Linked DNA regions of Stegostoma tigrinum. Each later gene encodes a partner of the first gene's protein in a complex. Links are inferred from orthologs where the notes say so. Each region holds a gene or a part of one and is shown in the gene's direction. Other genes may lie near its edges.

Region 1 (3,752 bases):
AATATTTTGGAATCGCAGAACAATTATTTTGAATTTCATGGTTAAATGTTTTCCACTGTCAATTTATTGGTTTATTCTATTAAATTTGATTTATTATTTTCACATGTACTGAAATACTGTTTTGTGTGCTATCCAAGCAAATCATAACTTACATAAGTATAACAGGGTGTGAAACAGAATGCAGAATATAGTGTTACAGCTACAGAGAAGGTGCAGTGAAGGATTAACTTTAATATTTGAGAGGTCCAATCAAAAGTCTGATAACAGCAGGGAAGAAGATGTTCTTGAATTAATTGGTACGTGTTTTCATACTTCTGCAACTTCTGCCTAATGGAAGAGAATGGAAGAGAGCATGAGTGGAGTGGGAGGGGTCTTTGATTATGTTGGCTCCTTTCTCGAGGGAGTGGGATGCATCTGGATAGGATACTTTCTGTGCTGCATGCTGAATGTCCTTAGCCTTCTGAAGATGTAAGAAGTGTTGGTATGCTTTTTTTCAATCAGACCATTGACGCGGATGGACCAGGACAGATTGTTGATGATCTTTACTCATAGGAAGTTGAAGCTCTTAACTGTCTCCAGCTCAGCACCATTGATACAGACAGCTGCATGTCCTTCACTCTGCTTGTTGGAAGTTGATAACCAGCTCCTGCTTGTTACTGATATTGATGGAGAGATTGAGATAACAAGTTGTAGAACTGGATGAACACAGCAGGCAAGCTGACGAAAATTTCTGAGAAGGGTCTAGGCCCCAAATGTCAGCTTTCCTGCTCCTCTGATGCGGCTTGGCCCGCTGTGTTCATCCAGCTCTACACCTTTTTATCTCAGATTCTCCAGCATCTGTGGTTCCTACTATACTTGATGGAGAAATTGTTGTCTTTACATCATGCCACTAAGTCTCTACCTTTCATTGTTAACCTCTGTATACATAGACGTATTTCATTAATTCAGATGGTGTGGGCGCAACTGGCTGAGCCAGCATTATTGTCCAAGCCTCATAGTCTCTTGAACAAATGGTGTTGAGCTGCTTTCTTGAATCACTGCAATCCATGCAGTGATGTGCTGGCTCGTACGGCTCAGTGGCAGTGTCCTCATCTCCAAACTGGAGAAGCTGGGTTCAAGTCTCACCCTACTGCCAAAGGTATACCACAACATACCCCATCAGGTTAATTTAGACTATCTATGTTGCCGTCACAATGGAGCAAATAAATCCATAGTTATCCTGCAAACTTTTGGAAAACCGTATATTGACCATAAAATCGAGCCATTCAAAATGACTGAGCAGATGATGCAGTGGACCCAAACAGCAGGACACCTCCTTTCTGCAGTGATAATGGGAACTGCAGATGCTGGAGAATCCAAGATAACAAAGTGTGGAGCTGGATGAACACAGCAGGCCAAGCAGATGATGCTGCTTGACCTCCTTTCTGCATTTCGCACTGGGTCCTTGTTAACTTTCCAGACGTCAGTCGGGGCGGAACATTCCCTCCAGCGCTCCGGGTTTGCCCGGCCCTTTGTTACAGGCGAACCGGTCTGTCCGGAAGTGAGCGCAGTTCCGGCGGCCTGAGGGAGGTTGTGTTGGGAGCGGAGGTTTGAGGTAGCGGCGGCTGATCCGACACCATGGGGAAGAGGCAGCACCAGAAAGATAAAATGTGAGCCTCGAGCTCTTCTTGCTGTTGGGAGAGCGGCCCCATCGCCCTTTGCCCTCCCTGTGACGCTCAAGCAGCCCATTTAGTTCACTGCGACTCGGCCTGAGTACATGACCCTCTTTAATTTTAAAATTCTCACCCTTTTCAGATCCTTCCCCTCCCCATCTCTGTTATCTCCCCACATCGCCAATATTCTGTGCTCTTGTGCATCCCTGATATTAAATTGCTTCTCCATTAATGACTCTTCTTCGGTCTGCTAAACCCTGAGCTCTGGAATTACCTCTGTATTCTTCTTTAAAATACTCCTCAGTTGCTACGGTTTTGATTCATCATTTGGTCTTTTTGTACTGCCTCTTTAGTCTTGCTAATCAGTGCTTGAAGCATTAAATTAGGTGGCATTGTATGCTGCAGACTTGTGCAGCAGTTCCTATTTGTGTTTTTCTTTCCCCTGTCTTCTTCGGAAGGGAGCAATTCTTTCTACATTGCAGCCCCTCACCTCTGTGTACATTATTTCAGTGATCCTGCAGATATTCACAGGGTTTATATGTGGAGTAACAGAATGTAAGGCAATGACACCACTTGAGGGATTGGAAACACCATTAATCTCAAGTATCTGGAAATGACAGTTGCATACCTAAAATTAACTCAGATATTGCTGTCAGTTCCATGCAAAAGGATCCACAGCTTGCATTTTGACAAGTTTATTTTTATTTGTTCATGTGATGTTGGCATCACTGACTGGGCCAGCAATTATGTCCATTCCCTGATTGGTCTTTTGAAAGGGCACCTTCTTGAACTGCTGGAGTCCATTGAGGTTAGGTGTGCCTACTGTGCTGTTAGAAAGGGAGTTCCAGAATTTTGACCAAACAAAAGTGAAGGACTGGAGATATAATTCCAGTTCAGAATGGTGTATGGATTGAAAGGAGACTTGTAAGTGTTGATGTTCCCACGTATTTGTTCTCCTAGGTGGTAAGGGTCGGGGATTTAGAAGGTGCTGTCTAAAGAACCTTGGTGAGTTGTTATTAGTGCATCTTGTAGATGGCATACTGCTGCTATTGTACATCAGTGTTGAAGGGAGTGAATGTTGATGGTATTAGAGAAGGTATTGGTCAATGGGATGCTTTGTTTTGTCTGGCATTAAGCTTCATGAGTGCTGCTGGAGCCGCACTCATCCAGTAAGTGGAGCATATTCCATCACATTCTTGATCTCTATCTTGTAAATAACGCACAGGCTCTGGGGAGAGAGACAATTGCCTGGTCATTGAGAGATGTGATTTTTTTGTAGCTTATCATGACAGTACTGGATTTAGTCCAGATTTGCTTCATATGGATTGACTGCTTCAATATCTGAAGGTTTGTGAATGGTGCTCAGTTTTGTGCAATCATCAGTGAACGTTCCCCCTTTTGATATTATGGTAGAAGGAAGGTCATTGAAGCATCTGAACATGATTGCATTCAGGAAATTAAATATGCACTCCCTGCAGTGATTTTTCGGGACTGAAATGATTGATTTCCAACAACCACAACAATGTTGCCTTGATTGAGGTACGACTGTGAGCAATGGAGAATTTTTCCCTGATTGCCGTTGACTGCAGATTTTCAGAGGATCCTTTTCTATGCCAGCAGCTAGTGTTTCATTAGTCACCAACGAAAGAAATCAGCTTCTTTGTTTGTAAGGTATAATTTACATTGACATTTCATAGAAACTGTGATATTCTGTATTTACCAACAAAATGAAATCAGAATAGAATTTTCTGACATGAACAGGTGATGCAGAGTGAGAAGTGTGCCTGACAAGCTATCATCAAGGAATGTTTTGCAGTACAAAATCAGTAAAGTCTGCAGTACTTTTTTTCAGTTCCAAAATTAATCACGGTGGGATTCAACTTGCCTGAGCTCTGCTTTGGAACTGGAACTCTGGCTGTTAAACATTGTGGATACTGTCCTGAAGAGGTGACTGGGTTGTGGGGTTGTCAGTTATGTTGTTGGGGAGGGACAGAGTGTGTGTGCTGTCTGGGAGTAAGTCTTGTTCCAGCTGTCCCCTTGACTCAATTCAGTTCGGTTACTCTCCTTTCTGGAAAGTATGGTTTTAACTAGGATGCATTT
Region 2 (3,752 bases), on another chromosome or scaffold:
TTAATCCAGCGACAGTGAAGGAATGGCGATATATTTCCAAGTCAGAATGATGAGTAGCTTGGAGGGGGACTTGCAGGTGGAAGTGTTCCCATGCATCTGCTCCCCTTATCCTTCTAGATGGAAATAAGTATGGGCTTGGAAGGCACTGTCTAAAGATCTTTGTAGACCTTCTGTAGTGCATCCTGTAGATGATACACATGGCTGCTACTGAGTGGATGCTTGTGGGTGTGGTGCCAATCAAGCAGGCAAGCCTGTCCTGGATGGTGTCAAGCTTCTTGGTGTTACTGGAGCCGTACCACCCAGGCAAGTGGGTGTATTCCATCACACTCCTAGCTTGGGCCTTGTAAATGGCAGACATGCTTTGGGGAGTATGGAAATGAATTACTTGCAACAGTATTCTCAGCAAGTTTTCAGGTTAGTAATAAGGCCAACATCAATAGGAATCGTGAGAATAGTGCTGTACAGATTGTGGAATTAAGCAGGAAGTACGTTTACAACTTTTGCAGCTGCCAGTTAGACATTAGTACAATACAACCAACGCTGATACCACAGTTATGCAACTTTGCATGCGCATTTTGACACATTACATTAACTATTTCCAAACTTTATATCATTACCTGCATGGTTTTATGGAAAATTTACGCTTTCTTAGTCTCCCTGAACTGCTGTGATCTATACAGAACTGACCTTTCACTCACTTATGCAATTGAGAGTAATCAGTTTCCACGCATCCAGCTCGCAGTGTTATTTAATCAAACACATATCTGTCAGTCACAAACAGAAACAGAAAGTAGCGGTGAAACTCGGATGGTCTGGCAGCATCAATGGAAACTAAAACAAAAAGACCTTTCTTCAGAACTGATGACTCAGAACTCCAGACCTGCTGAGTTTCTCCAGCAATTTCTGTTTGTTTCAGCCCTGCAGTAACCGCAGTTCGTTGTTGTATATATTTGTCAGTTGCCTGTTCAAAAGCTACAAATATGATTCATTTATAGTCAGAGCCTAGCATTATATTTCCTGGCGATCACGTTAGCTACGTCTCGCCTGACATGCACTTACCGCCGACTGTCATCACTCACCTTCGCCCTCTGACACTCGAATACCCAACCCCTATCCCGTGCAGATAATGGAGTATCCCACTCGCGCATGGTGCACCGGGATTTGTAGTTATTTGTGCCGGGGAGTTCCGTTTGTTTCTAAAAGACTCTCACCGCGGAGAAAAACTACAACATGTCTACCACCACGGTCAAACGATGAAATGCCGGGCCAGCTTTACACATTTTAGTTCGCTCGACTGGATGAGCATGCAAAGGATGAAATAAACAAGTATCTTTTATGATAAAACAAACGTTAATCAAAAAAGGTCATGACGGCGACTAAAACCCACTAAAGGCTGTGAGGTTAAAGCCTGTAACAAGGATGGAAGAACCGTGGGTGGGCAGACGTCGAGGGACGCAGGCGGGTCGCGTAACAACGCCAGAAGCAGTGTCTTCAAAGGCAGGCCGGTAGATATGCGATGACATCAGACGCAAACGTTGCAAGGGTGAGTGACGTGACGTCAGACGCACGGTGGCGTTGACAGCAACTTTTGTAGAGAAAATGGCGCTGACGAGGTAGGTGCTTCTCTATGTTTGTGTTGGATAGTTTTAATTCCGTGGATATTCGGCCCCAAAACGTTTTCTTTCTTTTCCCTCTCATCTTGTTATAAACCGCGATTGCAGACGGATCTGTGCTTCCAGAATTTCCCTGGCGTCCAATAAAGCCCTTTTCGTAATTCCCCGACTAGGCCCAACAAAGCCTTGCTTTTACCTTTTGCGAATTCCTGGCTTGAAGAAATAAGCAGCATTGGGAGGAAAGTAGTTGAAAATATCATATTTGAAGTTACTTTTGTTCTTTGTATGATAGGACAGCATCAAAATTTAATGTGAAAGTGTTATTCAGTGCCTCGATTGATGAATGTTGGAGATTGGCTTGCTAAAGGTTTTTGTTGTGTTGTAATTTAGTCGCTTTAATACTTAGCAATTCTACACGTATGCATTATTTGTTTTTATACAAATGTTTTACTGGCTTATTCTTTATGTTTTGTTGTAAGATGAACCAATTATGAGATGTGTGATGTCTATAGTGTTACCACATAGTTGCTGCCATGGTAACAACCATCACCCAAACCAAAAAGTTAAATTTTTGTAGGTAATAAAAAAGAAATGCCAGAAAAGGTTATAGGGGAGTGAGATGAATTCAGTAGCTTTCATAGAGTTGGCAAATGCGTGATAGACTCACATTTAGTTTGAGTAAATGTGGTTCAAATACACAATCAACAGCAGACAGTGTTTCTTTTCTGATGAAGGGTCTAGGTCTGAAACGTCAGCTTTTGTGCTCCTAAGATGCTGCTTGGCCTGCTGTGCTCATCTAGCCCCACACTTTATCAGTGAACATAGTGTGTTTGAATTTCAATTTAAGTTTGAGAGTGAGAAATTTGAGTCCCACATCAGTGTTATGATGTAATTACATAGGCATTAGGACAGTTTTGGCCTAAATGTATTAGCCAAAAAGGCAAATAGGTGGGACAGTTGATGAGCAACGGCAGACATTGAAGGAGATGTTCAGTTTCTCCAAACTAAAATATAATCCAGTGAGGAAGAAATAATTTAAGTGGTGGGAGGTGAGAAGCATTTATAGGTAAGCAAGGACGTTAAAGAAATCATAAAGGCAAAAACTAAGGCTCACAGTATTGCAGAGGTAAGTGTCTAGTAGAGAATTGGATAACTTTTAAAGAGTATCAAAGGATTAGTAAAAAAGTAATAAAAAGAGCAAAGTCAAATTATGAAAGAAAACTAGCACAAAATATAAATAGTGGAGAGCAAAGCTGTTTAAAAGTATATAAAAACTAAAGTGAGTTGTTAAAGTGAATGTTGGTCACTTAAGAGGTCGAGATTGAGAAGTTTATAATGGGGTAACACAAAAATGGCAGTGGCACTAAATCAATATTTTACCTCAGTTTCATTGTAGAGGATACTGAAACCATCCTAATAGTAACAAATGAACAGATTATAGGAAAGGAGAAACTCAACATTCCTGTTCACTAGAGAAAGAGTACTGAGCAAACTATTGGGATTTAATGCAAACAAGTCTATAGGGCCCAATAGCCTATATCATAGGATCTTCGAGGGAGTGGTAGCCACAATAGTGGATGCGTTGGTTATAATATTCCAAAATTCCATGGATTCTGGAAAGTTCCACAGGATTGAAAAATTCGAATGTAATACCCTTTAGCAAAAAAGCGAGACAGAAAGTAGAGAATTATTGATCAGTTAGTTTGATATCTGTCATAAAGTTGATGGAATCCAATATTAATGAAGTAGTAACAGGACATTTGGAAAGTCAAAACCCAATCCATCTGAATCTAAATGGTTATATGAAAGTCAAATCATATTTAACCAATTTGCCAGACTTCTTTGAAGATGTAACCAGCAAAGTGGATAATGGGAGTCCATAGATGTAATTCTGAATTTCCAGACGGCAGTTGATAGGGTGACACAGTGGTTCAGTGGTTAGCACCACTCCTTCATGCCCCAGGAACCCAGTTTCAATTCTACCCTCAAGTGACTGTGTGGAATCTGCACATTCAGATGGCATGTTGGCTCAGTGATCAGTACTGCTGCCTTAGAGTGCCAGGGACCCAGGTTCGATTCCAACCTCTGGAAACTGTCTATGTGGAGTTTGCATGTTCTTCCCATTTCTGGATGGGTTTT
Region 3 (3,752 bases), on another chromosome or scaffold:
AGGCAAGTATGAATGGTCTTCAGAGATAATCGGAACTGCAGATGCTGGAAAATCCAAGATAACAAAGTGTGAAGCTGGATGATCACAGCAGGCCAAGCAGCAAGTCAGGAGCACAAAAGCTGATGTTTCGGGCCTAGACCCTTCATCAGAGAGAATGGTCTTGCCCAGATACCAGTTCAATGGCATTCCTGATCATGGTGGTGGATTGCAAAGCAACACAACCTAATACAGAGCAATATATGGCACATCTGTCATGTGTGAAGAGAATGAAGATCACTCCAGTTTGATGGTTGCAGTGATTTTGAATACATCTTCATGACAACTTAATTTCCTATCTAGCTTGTCAGCAGACTTGGAAAGACTACAGGCAGCCAACACATGTTGAATCAATAACATGGATTATAGATCATGGAAGTCTAAACACTAATTCTTGCGTTGCAGGCGAATTAGACAGCCAACGTAAACGTTTTATTTTATTTTGATAATTTACTAATGGATGAATGTACTGTACTCAAACACAAACAATAGTGAACACTTTCAGAAGAGAACAGGAAGTCAGGAGGTAACCAGCCAAAACAAGTTCATGACCTCCGCATGAACAGTACCCATTCAAACGTTTCACGCACATAGTTATGAAACATTTGACTCAGACTGATTTGCAAAGTACTAAGATCGTGTGTTAAATTACATGATAGATGTGCCATACATCGGTCTGTACTGGCTTCTGTAACTTTGCAATATACCAGCATGCTTTTTGAAAGTATCGTGTAGTTGTCAGTCGTGACTTGACAGTCACTCTCCTCTATGTCACAGGGCTGCCATTCTGGGTCTAAAATTTACGCCGATCCTCCAGTATAATGCTGAGGTTTGCTGTACTTTCAGTACTGTTCTGATTTTAAAACCAAGATCGTGTCTGCTCTCTCAGATGCCCCTAAAAGATCTCATTTCACCATTTCAGAGAGGTGTCCCTTAATCATTAGAGATATTAATTGTCTGTTCATTATCGCATGATTGGTTCTGGAACATGTTGTGCTCAAACTGATTGCTGTGTGAAACACTTCAAAATCACGTGAGATGTCCTGTGTCATGAAAGGCGCTGAATAAAAAAAGGAAACGATTGAAATGGCCTTTTAAATGGAAATGCATCCTCGCCGCCCGTCGGCGCTGCCGGGAAGACGAAGTGGTGTTGTGGGTCATATGCGCATGATCAGCGACGAATCTCGTAAAAGTACGGTTACGTTTTTTTACAACTTCCGTCGATGGGGATTTTGAGTTGATCAGGTTGTGTCCTTTATTTATTATGTTCTTGTGTGTTGATGCGGTTTTTTTTCGTTACACTGGTTCCGTGAATTTTATATTATTGAGAAGTTGATTTACGCCATTCACAATTTGACTGCTTTGCTAACGTTTCCGAGAAGATTAGTGTTGTTTCAAGTAATTAGTTAGATATCTAGTACCAGGATTTCAATCAAACCGGATTTAGTCATGAAATAGATTCAGAGATAGTAGGAACTGTTGATGCTAGAGAATCTGAGGTAACAATTTGTAGAGCTGGATGAACACAGCAGGCCAAGTAGCATCAGAGGAGCCGGAAGGCTGACATTTCGGGCCTTGAAAATGTCAGCCTTCCTGCCCCTCTGATGCTGCTTGGCCTGCTGTGTTCATCCAGCTCTACAAATTGTTTTCTTATTTACTCATGAAATAGTTCACTATCTAGGAACATTTTCCTGTATGGTAGGTTCTATACCAACTCAAACATTTCAAGTTCAAACATTAAGAGATAGCAAGAACTGCAAATGCTGGAGTCAGAGATAACAAAGTGTATAGCTGGAGGAACACAGCAGGTCAGAAAGCATCAGAGGAGTAGAAAAGTTGACATTTCAGGTCCAGATCGTCTTGGGGAAGGGAGCTCTGAAATAAATAGAGATGAGGGATGGGTTGTGGAAAGTGATAACAGGTAGGGAGCGGTGGGGATTGTTCGGTGAGGTGGGAGGGACAATAGGTGAGAGAGAAGATGGATGGGTTGTGTTTGAGGGAGAGAGGGTTGGGTATGGGATGATGCTGGGGGTGGGGAGATTTTAAAACTGGTGAATTCCATGTTCAGACCATTGGGATGTAGGCTCCCAAGGTGGCATATAAGGTGCTGCTGCTCCAGTTTGTGGGTGGTGTCATTTGAGACACTGGAGGAGGCCTAGGATGGACATGTCACCCAGGGAGTGGGAGTTAAAATGGTTTGTGATCAGAAGGTGTTGTCATTGCTTGTGTACAAAGCATAGATGCTTGATGGAAATGGTCTTTGAGTACGCCTGGTTTCACCAATGTAAAGAAAACCACATTGGGAGCAGCTTAGCATCAGTAGACTAAGCTGACTGATGTTCAGGTGAACCCCTATCTGATGTGGAAGGTTTGTTATGTGCCTGGAATTGGAGGTGAGGTGTAGGGGCATGTGTAGCACTTCCTGCGGTTGCAGAGAAAGTTGGTGGGGTTAGTGGGGAGTGAATGAGGGTGTTGCAGAGGGGGTGGTCCCTATGAAAGGCAGGTAGGGGTGGAGAGAGAAAAATCTCTTTGGTTTTGGGGTTGGATTGTAGGTGGCGGAAGTGGTGGATAATGATATGTTGGATGTGGAGGCTAGTAGGGTGATATGAGGACAGTGGGGATTCTGTCTTTATTTTTGTTGCGGGAAGGGAATGTGAGGGCAGAAGTGCAGGAAACACAAGACAGGCAGTTGAGGTCATTTTCGATCACTGGAAGAGGGGTGGGGAATGTTATGGTCCTTGAAATAGGAGGACATCTGGGATATGCGGGAGTGGAATGGCCTGTCTTGGGAACGGGAGTGGAGGTGGAGGAATTGGGATCACACTCTCTTGCAGGAAGGTGGGTAAGAGGAGTTGTAGTTCATGTAGCTGTGGAAGTTGGCGAGCTTGAAAAAGATGTTATTTTCGAGGCAGTCACCAGAGATGGAGATAGAGGTGCCCAGGAAAGAGAGGGAGGTATTGGAGATGGTCTAGGTGAATTTGAGGTTGGGGTGAAAGGTGGTAGTAAAGTTGAACTGTTCAAGCTCCTCTTGGAAACCTGAGGCAGCGCCAATACAGTCTTCAATAGAGTGGAGGAAGAGGTGGGTGACAGTGCCAGTGTAACAGCAGAAGAGGGGCTGTTCTACATCTCCTATGAAGAGACAGGCGTAGCTTGGGCCCCTGCACGTGCCCATGGCCACACTTTTTGTCTGTAGTAAGTGGGAGGAATTAAAGGAGAAGTTGTTAAGGGTAAGGATGAATTCAGTTAAGTGAATGAGGGTGTTTGCGGAGGGGGATTGGTTGGACCTGTGGGAGGGGAAGAATCAGAGGGCTTTTAGACCATCTGTGTGGGGTTACAAGTGTGCAGGGATTGGATGTCCATAGTGAAAATGAAGTCTTGGAGGAGGTGGAAGGCATGGATGGTATCTAGGGCATAGCTGGGAAGTTCCCTAACTGGGGGGGGGAGACAATCATGACAGTAAGTAGAGATAAGTGAGGCTGTAGCAGGAGCAGGCAGTTGGGCAGTCAGGTTTGTGAATTTTGGGAAGGAGATGGAAATGGGCAGTGTGGGGTTGGGGAATGATGAGGTTGGTGGCTATAGGTGGGAGGTCACCTGAGGTGATGAGGTTATGAATGGTTTTAGAGATGATGGTTTGGTGGTCAGGGGTGGGGTTATGATCGAGGAGGCAGTAAGAGGAAGTGTCAGAAAGTTGGCGCCAGGCTTTGGCTATGTAAAGT

The links. The genes of interacting proteins can lie anywhere in the genome.
Region 2: ppil2 (region 1) and snw1 share a complex: the UniProt entries of both Homo sapiens proteins name them as parts of the minor spliceosome. The link is inferred for Stegostoma tigrinum from reciprocal best matches to the Homo sapiens genes PPIL2 and SNW1.
Region 3: ppil2 (region 1) and armc7 share a complex: the UniProt entries of both Homo sapiens proteins name them as parts of the minor spliceosome. The link is inferred for Stegostoma tigrinum from reciprocal best matches to the Homo sapiens genes PPIL2 and ARMC7.

The regions. Positions count from the first base shown.
Region 1 is NC_081379.1:43,745,225-43,748,976, forward strand, and holds the start of ppil2 (RING-type E3 ubiquitin-protein ligase PPIL2), read left to right. Parts: upstream 1-1,533; 5' UTR 1,534-1,617; coding exon 1,618-1,649; intron 1,650-3,752. UniProt on the Homo sapiens protein: Has a ubiquitin-protein ligase activity acting as an E3 ubiquitin protein ligase or as an ubiquitin-ubiquitin ligase promoting elongation of ubiquitin chains on substrates.
Region 2 is NC_081363.1:13,496,103-13,499,854, forward strand, and holds the start of snw1 (SNW domain-containing protein 1), read left to right. Parts: upstream 1-1,502; 5' UTR 1,503-1,599; coding exon 1,600-1,613; intron 1,614-3,752. Other genes in the region: adck1 (aarF domain-containing protein kinase 1), read right to left, coding at 1,060-1,072. UniProt on the Homo sapiens protein: Involved in pre-mRNA splicing as component of the spliceosome. As a component of the minor spliceosome, involved in the splicing of U12-type introns in pre-mRNAs.
Region 3 is NC_081370.1:17,573,570-17,577,321, forward strand, and holds the start of armc7 (armadillo repeat-containing protein 7), read left to right. Parts: upstream 1-1,174; 5' UTR 1,175-1,281; intron 1,282-3,752. UniProt on the Homo sapiens protein: As a component of the minor spliceosome, involved in the splicing of U12-type introns in pre-mRNAs.